Linked DNA regions of Drosophila melanogaster. The protein of the gene in region 1 interacts with the protein of each later gene in a pairwise test. Each region holds a gene or a part of one and is shown on either strand. Other genes may lie near its edges. The genes, in order: Rbpn-5, CG15468 and CG31244.

The links.
Region 2: the proteins of Rbpn-5 (region 1) and CG15468 interact in a two-hybrid assay, tested with the Drosophila melanogaster proteins (one large-scale study listed by BioGRID).
Region 3: the proteins of Rbpn-5 (region 1) and CG31244 interact in a two-hybrid assay, tested with the Drosophila melanogaster proteins (one large-scale study listed by BioGRID).

What each region holds. Positions count from the first base shown.
Region 1 is NT_033778.4:21,088,983-21,092,816, reverse strand, and holds the start of Rbpn-5 (Rabaptin-5), read left to right. Parts: upstream 1-1,812; 5' UTR 1,813-1,890; coding exon 1,891-1,945; intron 1,946-2,005; coding exon 2,006-2,547; intron 2,548-2,602; coding exon 2,603-3,387; intron 3,388-3,451; coding exon 3,452-3,587; intron 3,588-3,645; coding exon 3,646-3,762; intron 3,763-3,825; coding exon 3,826-3,834.
Region 2 is NC_004354.4:4,959,428-4,963,261, reverse strand, and holds CG15468 (uncharacterized protein), read left to right. Parts: upstream 1-2,133; 5' UTR 2,134-2,184; coding exon 2,185-3,225; 3' UTR 3,226-3,333; downstream 3,334-3,834.
Region 3 is NT_033777.3:19,396,930-19,400,232, reverse strand, and holds CG31244 (uncharacterized protein), read left to right. Parts: upstream 1-1,665; 5' UTR 1,666-1,750; coding exon 1,751-2,716; 3' UTR 2,717-2,803; downstream 2,804-3,303. Other genes in the region: INO80 complex subunit, read left to right, coding at 1-21, 88-228, 359-536, 600-940, 1,005-1,266, 1,327-1,494.

The DNA.
Region 1 (3,834 bases):
TTGTACATGCCGAAGGTCATCTTCTCGCCGAAGCTCAAGCCCGACTTTGTGATATCGAGGAAGCCCTCGTAGCCCTTGGTCATAAAGTTGCCGTATCCGAAGGGATTGGCCATTGGTGGCCAGTAGGGTCCCTGTGTTCCATTGCCCGTGAAGTTCGTTTGGGCCGTATAGGGTGGCTGGGCACTGGGTGGCATCGATGCCTGGCTCATTGCCGATCCGCTGGTCAGATTGTGGATGTTGATCCTGGGCGGTCGATTTGCCCGCCGTGAAGGCGGCGGTGTGCTGGGAATGGGTGTTATGCTCTGGGTTTGCGACATGGTCGGTTTTTTTTTTGGTATATCCGGGAATCTATATGGATTCGCTTTGCAATTTTCTAATTGATATCCGTAGGAACTCAAAACATTGGGCACTTTATGGTCATTATTCAAGTTCCGTTCACATACATATATCGCGGCGGTTGTACTTATATATTTGTATTATTTTTAAGTTTATAAGTAGAAATGCCGTCGCGATTCCAAGGCGCCGCGTATTTATTTCTTCGCGTACTTTTTTTTCCCGCTTCCGACCGCCTCGTTCCTGAATCCAATGCGAACTGAACAGACGCCAAATATTTTGGCCAACATCGCTGCTGTTGTCGCTGGGCATAATGCTGTAGTATTTGTATCGGCCACGAATCTCCGGCTGCCGACTATGACGACATCGAAAGTCATGAGCTCACAAGCCTGCCAACAAGTCCAAGACCTAGAAGACCCAACGGATCTCAGCGTACACTGACGAAAAAAATGGTCTATGTAATGCCTAATGCTATGATTTAATTAATATTATTGGCTATAAGGTGGTTAACAAATGTTTAAAGTTAACATTAGTTACAGCGTACAATTATTTTTTACCTATCGACTAAAATGTTTTCCAATTTCTGGTAGTGTACAGCCATGATAATTTTATAATTAGTCAAGTTTTCGGCTTCCTCAGCCGATGCCGAAATTCTGAAATCGAGTTTTGTTCTGGTTAACGCGTAGTTTTGTTATCTCAAATAGTTTGCTATATTGTTATATTTAAATATGTTTTCTCATTAGCTAGGCATTATTGAAGTATTCATTTTCCTCTCATAATTTATCAGCTCTTAGCGTTTTCTCGCGTTTCTGGCGCTTAATAATTTGCATAAAATTAAAAGAACTGACGGTATTAGTCATTCATGATCGGCAGTCATTTACCTTTTCATAGAATTGTGTCTAATATATTCTGCCGTTGTCATTTGGCTTACACACAAATGTTGAAACACTTTCTAGGAAATGCTTAAGAAAATCCTAAATAATTAAGAACGATTAAGATGCAATTATAAACATTATACAAATTTAAATTATATGGTATTGTTTATTTATATTCCTTACCCATTTGTTTTCTTTTTCTATTTATAGTTCCTGATGGCTGATGATAACAAAAAATTCGAGGAATATCTAGATTTAGATTTTAGACTAAGATATAAAAGGACAAAGGAGTGATTTTAAAGGATTCCGACTTTTAACTTAATAAAACGGGTTCTTAAAAAGGACACATTAAAAGGACATAAAATAAGAATACATTTGCAAATTGGCGAAGGGAAATTATTAAAACTATTTTACCAAGTATCTGTAAGTAAATATTTTAAACTTTCTATACTTCTATAGAAAACTTAATCCCAAAAGATGTTTATCAAGCTCAATAAAGTTAGATTTTGAAAACCTTTTTTAACGGCACTGCCAAGCAATACTAAAGTATTAACTATCGGTATTATTCAAATATGGTAACACCAAGAGCAGTGTTGAAAATCGCTCAAATGTATATGTTCTAATTGGTGCGCTCACATATGTACATATAAACTAATAAATTGGCCATCACACAATATAGAAAATGGAAGAAAACGAGACCCGGTCAGAGGCCAGGGAACCCACGGACCTGCCCAATGGTAAGGCAGCACCACAGGAAGCCTGAACAGCCGATAACTAACCCATAACTCCAACGGCAGGTGAGGATGACGCGACCAGCCAGCACAAACTCAGTCACCTGCAGAACGAGATGCGCAAAATGCAGAACGAGTTCAACACGCAGCGGGCGAAGATGCGGGAGCTGTACATCCAGAAGGAGGCGGAGGTCAGCCAGAGCCAGCAGGAGCGACGGCAGCTGCAGGCGGAGCTGGACGAGCTGAAGACACACCTAATGGTGGCGGACCTTAAGTCGCAGAACGAGCTGCAGCTGAGGGACCTCAAGGCGCAGGAGGAGATCTCCTCGCTGCAGCAGCTGGTGCAGGACACTATCGAGGAGACCGCGCACTACAAAGGCGAGGTGGAACGGCTCAGGCTGGAGCTGGGCAAGTACCAGCAGATTCAACAGCAGACGATGGCTCAACAACCGCAGGCCGAGTCATCTGGCGGTATAGCGCCGCAGGTGCTCAATCAGGTCAAGAAGACACTAGGCTCTGTGCGTAAACTGGGCACCGACTCCCTGAACAGCAGCTTTCAGCAGGACGAGGACACCCGGGCATCGAGCAAGGGCAATGGCAAGCAATACGTATGTTTTCGGGACTAATCTTTCAACTATCAAATTAACTGAGCTTATATTGCAGGCTCCTGAGGAGGCGGAGATGATGCACTCAATTGTCGAGCAGCTTCAGGAGGAGATGAAGGCACTAAAAGTGAAGCTGCGCGAACAGGACGAGCAACTGCAGGCCAAGTCGGCGTCCGATGAATCCGCCCTGCACAAGTCCACGTCCATGGACGTCGCCGAGAGCGCCTGCGAGTCGTGCAGCTTGGCAGAAAAGAAGACCGAAGAGCTGGGTGCCCATATAAACAAACAGCAGAAACAGGTGGATCTGCTGCAAAAGCAGCTGGTGGAATCCCGGGAGACACTGGTTAAGGAGGCGGCATTGCGCAAGGATCTGGAGGACCAGTGGCAAGAAAAGCGGGAGGCCCACAAAAGCGAAGTACAAAGCCTGCGTGACCAGGCCAAAACCAACGAGCAGCGACTGCTGGACATGCAGCAAAAGTTTCTCGAGACCAAGGACGAGGTTATTAAGCAGATCCAGCGCGTCTCCGACGACCGAGAGCGGGTCAACAAGCAACTGGAGACGTTGCAGGCGGACAACGACTTTCTGTCCGGTCGCTATCTGGCCACGTCCGAGGAGATCGACAACCAATATATCAATCTGCCCAACACGGTCGTCGAGCTCCAGGAGCTGATACTGCGACAGCAAAGCGAGCTAATCCAAGCACGCGTCAGCAGCGAATACGAGCGACAGAAGTGCACCAGCACTGAAGATGAGATTCAGATCTTGCGGGCCCAGCTGGAGGAGAGCAACAATGAAAGGCGGGCCTACAAGCGCAAAATGCAACTAGATATTAAGTCACTGCAGTAAGTTACAACCTCTTGTCTATGGTGGTGTTCACTTTGGCCCACGTTTTAAATGAATTTTCAGGGATCGGGTGACGGAACACTTGGTCACGGTACAAGCGTACGAGACTACCAAAACCCAACTGGAGCGCAAAGAGGCTGAGCTGAACAAGCAGCTCTCCGAGTGTCGCGTGGAGATCATTGAGCTGCAAGAGGCCAATGTAAGCTATCATATTTTGTTGTCACACTTGATTCTTCGCTAACCAGATCACATTACAGGAAAAGTACGCCAAAACAAATGCAGACTACAAGACGAAGATAAAAACACTACAGGAGGAACTCTCCACCATGGAGACTGTTCAAAAGGACTTTGTCAAACTATCTCAAACGCTTCAGGTGAGTGAGATATAAAAATATATGGTTTATTCACTTAATTAATTACATTGTGTTGTGCCACAGATGTCGCTG
Region 2 (3,834 bases), on another chromosome or scaffold:
TTTTTATTTGCAAGCCATAAAGAGTATATTCGACAAGATGGTAACTTTATCCGTTGAAATAAACCAAATATGTAAACTAATACTTCAGCGCAAAACAAACGCACTTGTGGATGGTTTGGCTTGGAAATCTGCGAATGAAAAACTCTTTCTACAGGATATCACCATGTCGATCCAGTCGGTGTTTGGCATTATTTTTTATGCGCTGGCTTCTCCACTTAGTTCCAGATGCGGAAATAAATGCACTTGAATTCCTCAACTTGTTACATAAATCGTAATTTTCTATAGACTTGTTCTATATCTAATGTATATTGCATTATTCGCTACTCGTTTTCTCCCAGTTGTTTCTCTTTCTGTTTTTTTTTTTTTGTTGCTTTTCATTATTATTATTATTACTATTATTTTTATTTTATGATCGCTTATCTTCTTCGGAGTCTTCTGCTGGTGCTGCTGATTTTCGCTACCGAAGCTGCGGAGCTGCGAAGATTTGACCGCGCCAGGTTGAGAGTCAAGTCAACTTGGGGCAACTCAAGTCGGAATATATGAATGTCTGAATGTCTGGATGTCTGGGGGGGGGTTTACTCCGTTCCCCTTGTTCGTATACCCATTCTCGCGCACTTGAACTTCCTGCATGACCAAGGCCTCCGGGAGATCAGCAGATCATGTGAACTTTTATGGCCATCATCGGTCATTACTCGTCTTGGTTGCAATTAGGCATCTTAGCGGTATAGTTCTCGACGCCGCCAGTCCTCTTAATTCATTCGTTTTTTTTGTTTTTTTTGTTTTGCACCCATGAAATGCAAATAAAATAAAGCACATTATTAGTATTAGTAAGTTGTGGGAATTATTTTGGACTCATCTCAGTCTCATTTCTTGCAGGAATTATTTTGGACTCATCTCAGTCGCATTTCTTGCAGGAATTATTTTGGACTCATCTCAGTCTCATTTCTTGCAGCTATGTGCAGCTAGTTCAGTGCATATTTCATGTTATTTAAATGCCTGCCCAGGCTCCATCAAATATTTGTTTAACCTGACCCCATTCTTGGGCCTTCGTATCCATCCTATCGCGCAGCTCACATGCCTAAACGTTTCTTAGAGACCTGCGAAATTCCACATGTGACAATTCAGCATTCAGCAGATGCCACGATGGTGAGATGGCTCCAAATGGAATAGCAAAGTTGACTAAAAGCCTGTCAATCGCTGATGTTGCGTGGAAAAAGAAAAAACACTGAACGCAATATTCGGATATTTCTCTGACATACAAAAATAACTCAGCAATTGTTCGTTTATATAATAATGCAAGATTATATAGAGCCTGGCCTATAAATTTTGAATCATATCTCTAATTTCTGAAGAAGATTTGCTACTTCAATTTTGTTCACTGCCTCGAATGGTTTTTGGGCTGATGTCCTATGCAGTAGAGGCCCGAATCTCTGGCAAGCAATTAGCAAGGCAGGGCCCAGAAGAAAGATCACCGCAAGACCACGGTCGGGGGCACCAATTGCAATTGAAGAAAAGGGGCAGCATGGAATAGGAGCCCAGAAGGAAAAGCGGCGAACAGGGGTGACTGAGTGGAAGACAGACGACAGAAGCGGGATTTATCAGAGACAGAAGACTGAGCTTTGTGAGATGGAGATGGAGAAAAGCAATTCTGCGGCTGACGGTTTTCGCAGAAAATTACAACTTGCGGGTAAACAAAGTCAACTGCCGGCAGTTGATGGTGGCTCAATGGTAATGGTGGCTAGCGTGGTAAGAAAGGAGGCGAGGGCTGACTAGAAGAATTGCCGCTGAAGCCACACGCCAAAAGCCAGCCCACAAGCCTCTGGCCCACAGCTCTCTGCTTTTCTTTTGTTTTTTCCTACTCATCGTTGTTTCTTTTTGTTTTTTTTTCTTTCGTTTTCTACTGCCGGACTCCATGTGGAGTGGAGTGGATGTTTCTGCGGATTTGGATGTGGGTGCGCAATTATGCCGCCAGAGCAACTGAGCAGCCATAAATTTTCTTATCAGCGCCGGGCCAAAAAGACAGGAGCGGTTTGGAGTGGTTTTTAAAATCACTAAGGAATCACTAAGAGTTTGAAAAACCCAATTTAAGTGGGCTATGCTTTTTTTACCTTAACGCTCACATATTGCACACACACCCAGACTTAAATCTACACTTTGTTAAAAAAAAAAATTAATAAAAACAAAATGGATAAGGTGAAGATGATACCTACCAATGATGGCGAACCAAGGGATTATCCGCTCGACGAGGATTTTCATCTGCTGCGCGATCTGGGCGACTGTCACAAGGCGAATCTGGCGGACATCGATATCATAGCGCGAACGACCACCAAATGTCAGTTGGGAGGAGAGCAGATGATTTCGCCAGGCTATCAGAGGTTAGGCCCTTCCTTGGATCGAGTACCAGATGATGAGGAAACCGACTCACAGGAGGAGGAGATGGAAATACTGCCATGCGGAATGGGCGAGGAGGGCATAACCACCGATGAGGAGACAAAAACCCTGATTACCATTCAGGGTCTGGACGAGATATTGAAAAGAATCGATATATTGCGTAGTCAACTCCGCAGGAATCAGCAATTGGAGGATATTAGCCAACCATCGGTAATGCCAGAGGATCCGATCTCCTGCAGTGGCCTGAATGCGAAGCAATCGGAGATACGGTGCATTCAACGTGCCCAGCATCACATTCAGTGCCAACTAACCGAACTCCTGTGCCGCTACGATGCCCTCCGGAATATGTTGCGCAGTTTGGGCGAAACGTGGACGTGTCTAGAGCGACGAATTGCCGATATTCGGGGACAGAACCGCGTCCACTTGGCCTGGACTGAGGAGTGCGCCAACGATCTAAGCAACTGCCAGCAGAGACATCGCTCCTTGGCCGCCGTCAAGCTTACCAAAAAGATGGCCCTGCTCGTGACCAAAACGAATATGTCCAGTGGCTTTCGCTATAGCCGTCGATATCTACGACATGCCCTGATCGCTCGACATATCAACGACTTTCGCTACGAGATCGCCGAGTTGAAGGTTTTAAGCGAGGAAATTTTCTCCGAAATCGATGGGCGACTGGACCAGATCAAGATGAAGGCTCAACGATTCGGAGTCGTATTCTCGACCACGCCGCGTCAATCCAATCTAATCGCCGATGGAACTGGCAACACTGAGCTAACCGAGCTAACTGATGCCACCGAAACGTTCACCGTTCCAAGGAGCAATAATCCAAAATAACAATTTCAAGGGCACATAGAGAAAGCACATTATCATTAGGAAATAAAATAGGAAAATCATTAAGTTATAATAAGAGCAAAGAAAAATAAATACAAAAATGTAAAATGCAAACCGAATACGCGGGCAAAAGTGCGCTCCTGTGCTGGGATAAAAAAAAAAAGAAAAAAATAGTGCTAGTGGGAGGCAGCAGGCTGGCGGAGTGGAAAATGGGAAAGCGAAAGAGACGAAGTATGAAGAATGAAGAAAAGAAAAACAAAATGAGCCACCAGCACATGGGTAGTACATCATTTCGGACTTTATCAGCAAAACAGGCAGCCGAGCAGCGCGCGCGTGGGCAGCTCCAGAGTGGAATTCCGATGCCGCCAACGCTTCCCCGGCAGCAACAAAGCAGCAGCAGCAGCAGCAGCAGTCGCAGCAGCAGCAACAACAGCAGCAACAACTGCAATTGCAACTTAATTGAGGCTTGTCTATGCAGTCGTAGCCAAAAGTAACTGCGGTTGCTACTCGCTCTATCTTTTCGCTGTTGTATACAGATACACGCGTGTGTGTGTGTGTGTGTGTTAGCCATCTCATGTCGCCCATTGCGAACTTGATGCCTCGCTGCCCCAG
Region 3 (3,303 bases), on another chromosome or scaffold:
AAAGCACTTGCTCTATAACCGGTAAGTGGATAGGTTTTGAACATTTTATCATATTTGAATTTTTAATCCTTGACTGCCCATTTGCAGGTTCAATATCTTCAAATCGGAATACATACAGAGGTCTCTCTTTGAGGATGTGAACGTGAATAGTTGCTTCGGATTTACCCGGCTTTGCGATTTATCTGTGGGAGATATGGTAGAAGTAACTTTAAATGGACTGATAGATTTGTGAGTATTCCTATACCCTTTACCTGTAAGTAACATGTTTATAATAGCAAAATTCGCAAATGTCGTGCTCCTTTGTTTGATAATAACAAATGGTTAAATACTTACAATACTTACGTTTGTTTTTCTACAGTCTTTTGCATTATCGAAGAGTTTTGGAGAAATACCCACTGCTGGCCTACCGTCGCTTTTGGTGGAAAAAGCAGCCGGACAGTAGATATCAACTGCTGGAGCCGATGTTGGAAAACAAACTAGCTCTCGACTATATGCCACCAAACAGTGTCCTTAAGAACTTCATATTCACAGCAATGGTATAATTATTTATATTTATAAATTTTTATTCGAACAATTTATACAATGATTTATGCTTAAAGACCGCCAACGAAAGCAGCGTTTACGCATTTGGCGATTACTTTACGTACAATATGCAGGAAACTATCGAACACCGTGTAATTCGGTCAAAGATTCTGAAGAAGAAAACGTCGCTAATCGAGGAGATGGAGGATGTGTCCAAGCAAAAGCTGGAAATCGAGTCTGTGGAGGTGCAAACAAAGTCGAATGCCAAAAGCGATGTTAAGGTGACGACGCTGCTGCTGCTACCAGAGTTTCCGCATCGCCCACGAAAGCCAAGAAAATACGTATGCGAACCGCTTTCCATGCCACGAATACTTTACGATTTGGGACAAAAAGTTCAAGCTGTGCATAGATATTTATAGTAAGTTTCAAATGGATTCATCGAAACCGATCCAGGTTTTTAACTTTTTTTATATCAATTTTAGCTGCGATAGTCGATCTGCAGCGTGGTCCCAGATTCGCCACAATCAGTGTGAGAATAGCCAGGGCAGGGAGCTTGTCTCCAGTGGATTGGCCTTGTGCAAGCCTCATGGTGGATGGTCCTCGATTGTGGTGCCCGACAAGGAAACCCTGATTACCGATGCTGGTAAGCTTTTTGTTCTTGACAACTTGCTAACTCGATTGAAGGCGAATGGACATCGAGTACTCATATACTCGCAGATGACCAAGATGATAGACCTGCTCGAGGTAAGTTTATTAAACTTGAAACGATCACTGTTCAGTTTAATTTTTTGATAAAATGTCTAGGAGTACATGTGGCACCGCAAGCATCGCTATATGCGCCTGGATGGCTCAAGCAAGATATCCGCTCGTCGCGATATGGTTGCCGATTTTCAAACGAGAGCAGATATCTTCGTGTTCTTACTGTCTACGAGAGCCGGAGGACTGGGAATTAATTTAACAGCCGCCGATACGGTGAGTTCATATTATACTTACTTTTTCATTTATGTATATTGATGTACAATATCAATTTTTTTTACCGTGCCTTTCAAAAAAGTTTGTCCCTTGTTTCGATTTCGTTTAATTTTTTCTTGAAATCACATTGTGAATTTATATTAGTGCCTTTTAAAAACTTTTCACTCATACGCTCTCCGAAATTTCTATTGTATTAGTCAAATCCATTCATTTTCAACAATAACTTTAAGTAGTCCAAATTTCAAGTTCATTTCAAATGCATAACAACAGCTGTTTAGAACCCATGGACAGGACCAAGACTACGAAACTTCCTCAGCTCAAGTCCAGCGTTACTCCCTACAGACCAAAGCCGAACCTAATCCGTAGTGATTCCCCGAAATTAGAGAACGATAAGCGTAATGGGCTGGACTTGGAGCTTCTGGATAATCCAGAGATACCGAGCGTAAAGCGAGTACGATGGGCTCCGATGTATGGGGAAAGGAGCCCGAGTAAGACCGGCTTTACCAGCGTTCCACTAAGCTCCAAAAAGGCGCAGTTTGATCATGATACGACAGATGAGTTAATACTGGCTAACGAGCTTCGATTAGCGGTGCATCGTGGGGGAGGTTCCATAGATCCCGACAAGAACTACGAGCTGAGGGCTCGACTGTCGCCCTTGCAATTGCCGTACAGTCGAGTGCAGCGAATTCTGAAGGAGTGCGAGTTGAGCGAGAGGAATCATCACACCTATAGTATACCCATGGACTATGGGCGGCAATTGGTTGCCATGGTTTGCAAGATCAGGACGGATAATCTCCCCGAACTGAAACTTCGCTTGGCCTCCTTACTGCGGCAAAACAAAGCGCGCTTCTTCAATCGACATTTATTCAACGAAACTGGCTTGATTGAGGCCACATTGCCGAGCGTAACACCATTAAGCTTTGAGGAATTCAATCAAACGTTGCGAATTGATGCTTTGTGGTGCAAAGCCACCGATAGTACCATTACCGATTTGGCCAAAGGATCTGTTTTGTTCAAATGTCGGCCTCTGGACCTGCAAGAGGTCGCGTACAAACTCAGGCAGTGCAACTACAAGATTGTACATAAGGAGGTTGGACACTGTCCAAACAAGCCGCTCGTCGAGTTAAATGATCGTCAAATGGCCCGCTATCAGGAGTTTCGTAAAAACCTTCTTCAAGACATAGATGTCGTAAAGATCTATGACAATGTGCGTGTCCAGTAGTTCAAGTCAGTTCGGCAAAAATCACAAGTAATTTTAAATTATCAAAAGTTTAAATTATCCGTAATACAAAACTCTTAATGACCCTCTAGAACTTTATCGTATAAACTATTTGTATAGTTTATTGTAAAGAATGTTTTCTCTATTTTTTTTTAAAGTGTGTTTTGATCAGTACTCTATTCAAGTACGAAAAATAGCCATATGTTTTCACATATGAGAGCGTAATTATAATTGGGACTGCTTTGAGTAGGTACTCAAACGTCGAATATATAAGCGGTGACTAATTTGGAAAGTCAAATAAATTTTAAATATAGTACTATGACTTCTTCCAAAATGTTTTATATTTTTTCATATGCAGGCTTAGCTCTTAGTTCTCTACATTATAGTAATTGTTCCCCATTCATTTGATGATTTATAGACAGGTTTGGGACAATATTTTACACGTCAGTATAGAGAGAGAAATTCCTTTGCCATTGTCCCGATCTCGGTGGCGGAAAAACCCTGTGTGGCTCTTGTATTCATTTGCTAAACTACTTGTTCATGCACTGCGGCAATCGATGGTGAATCTTGAGCAAGGGGTGGTGACGGGT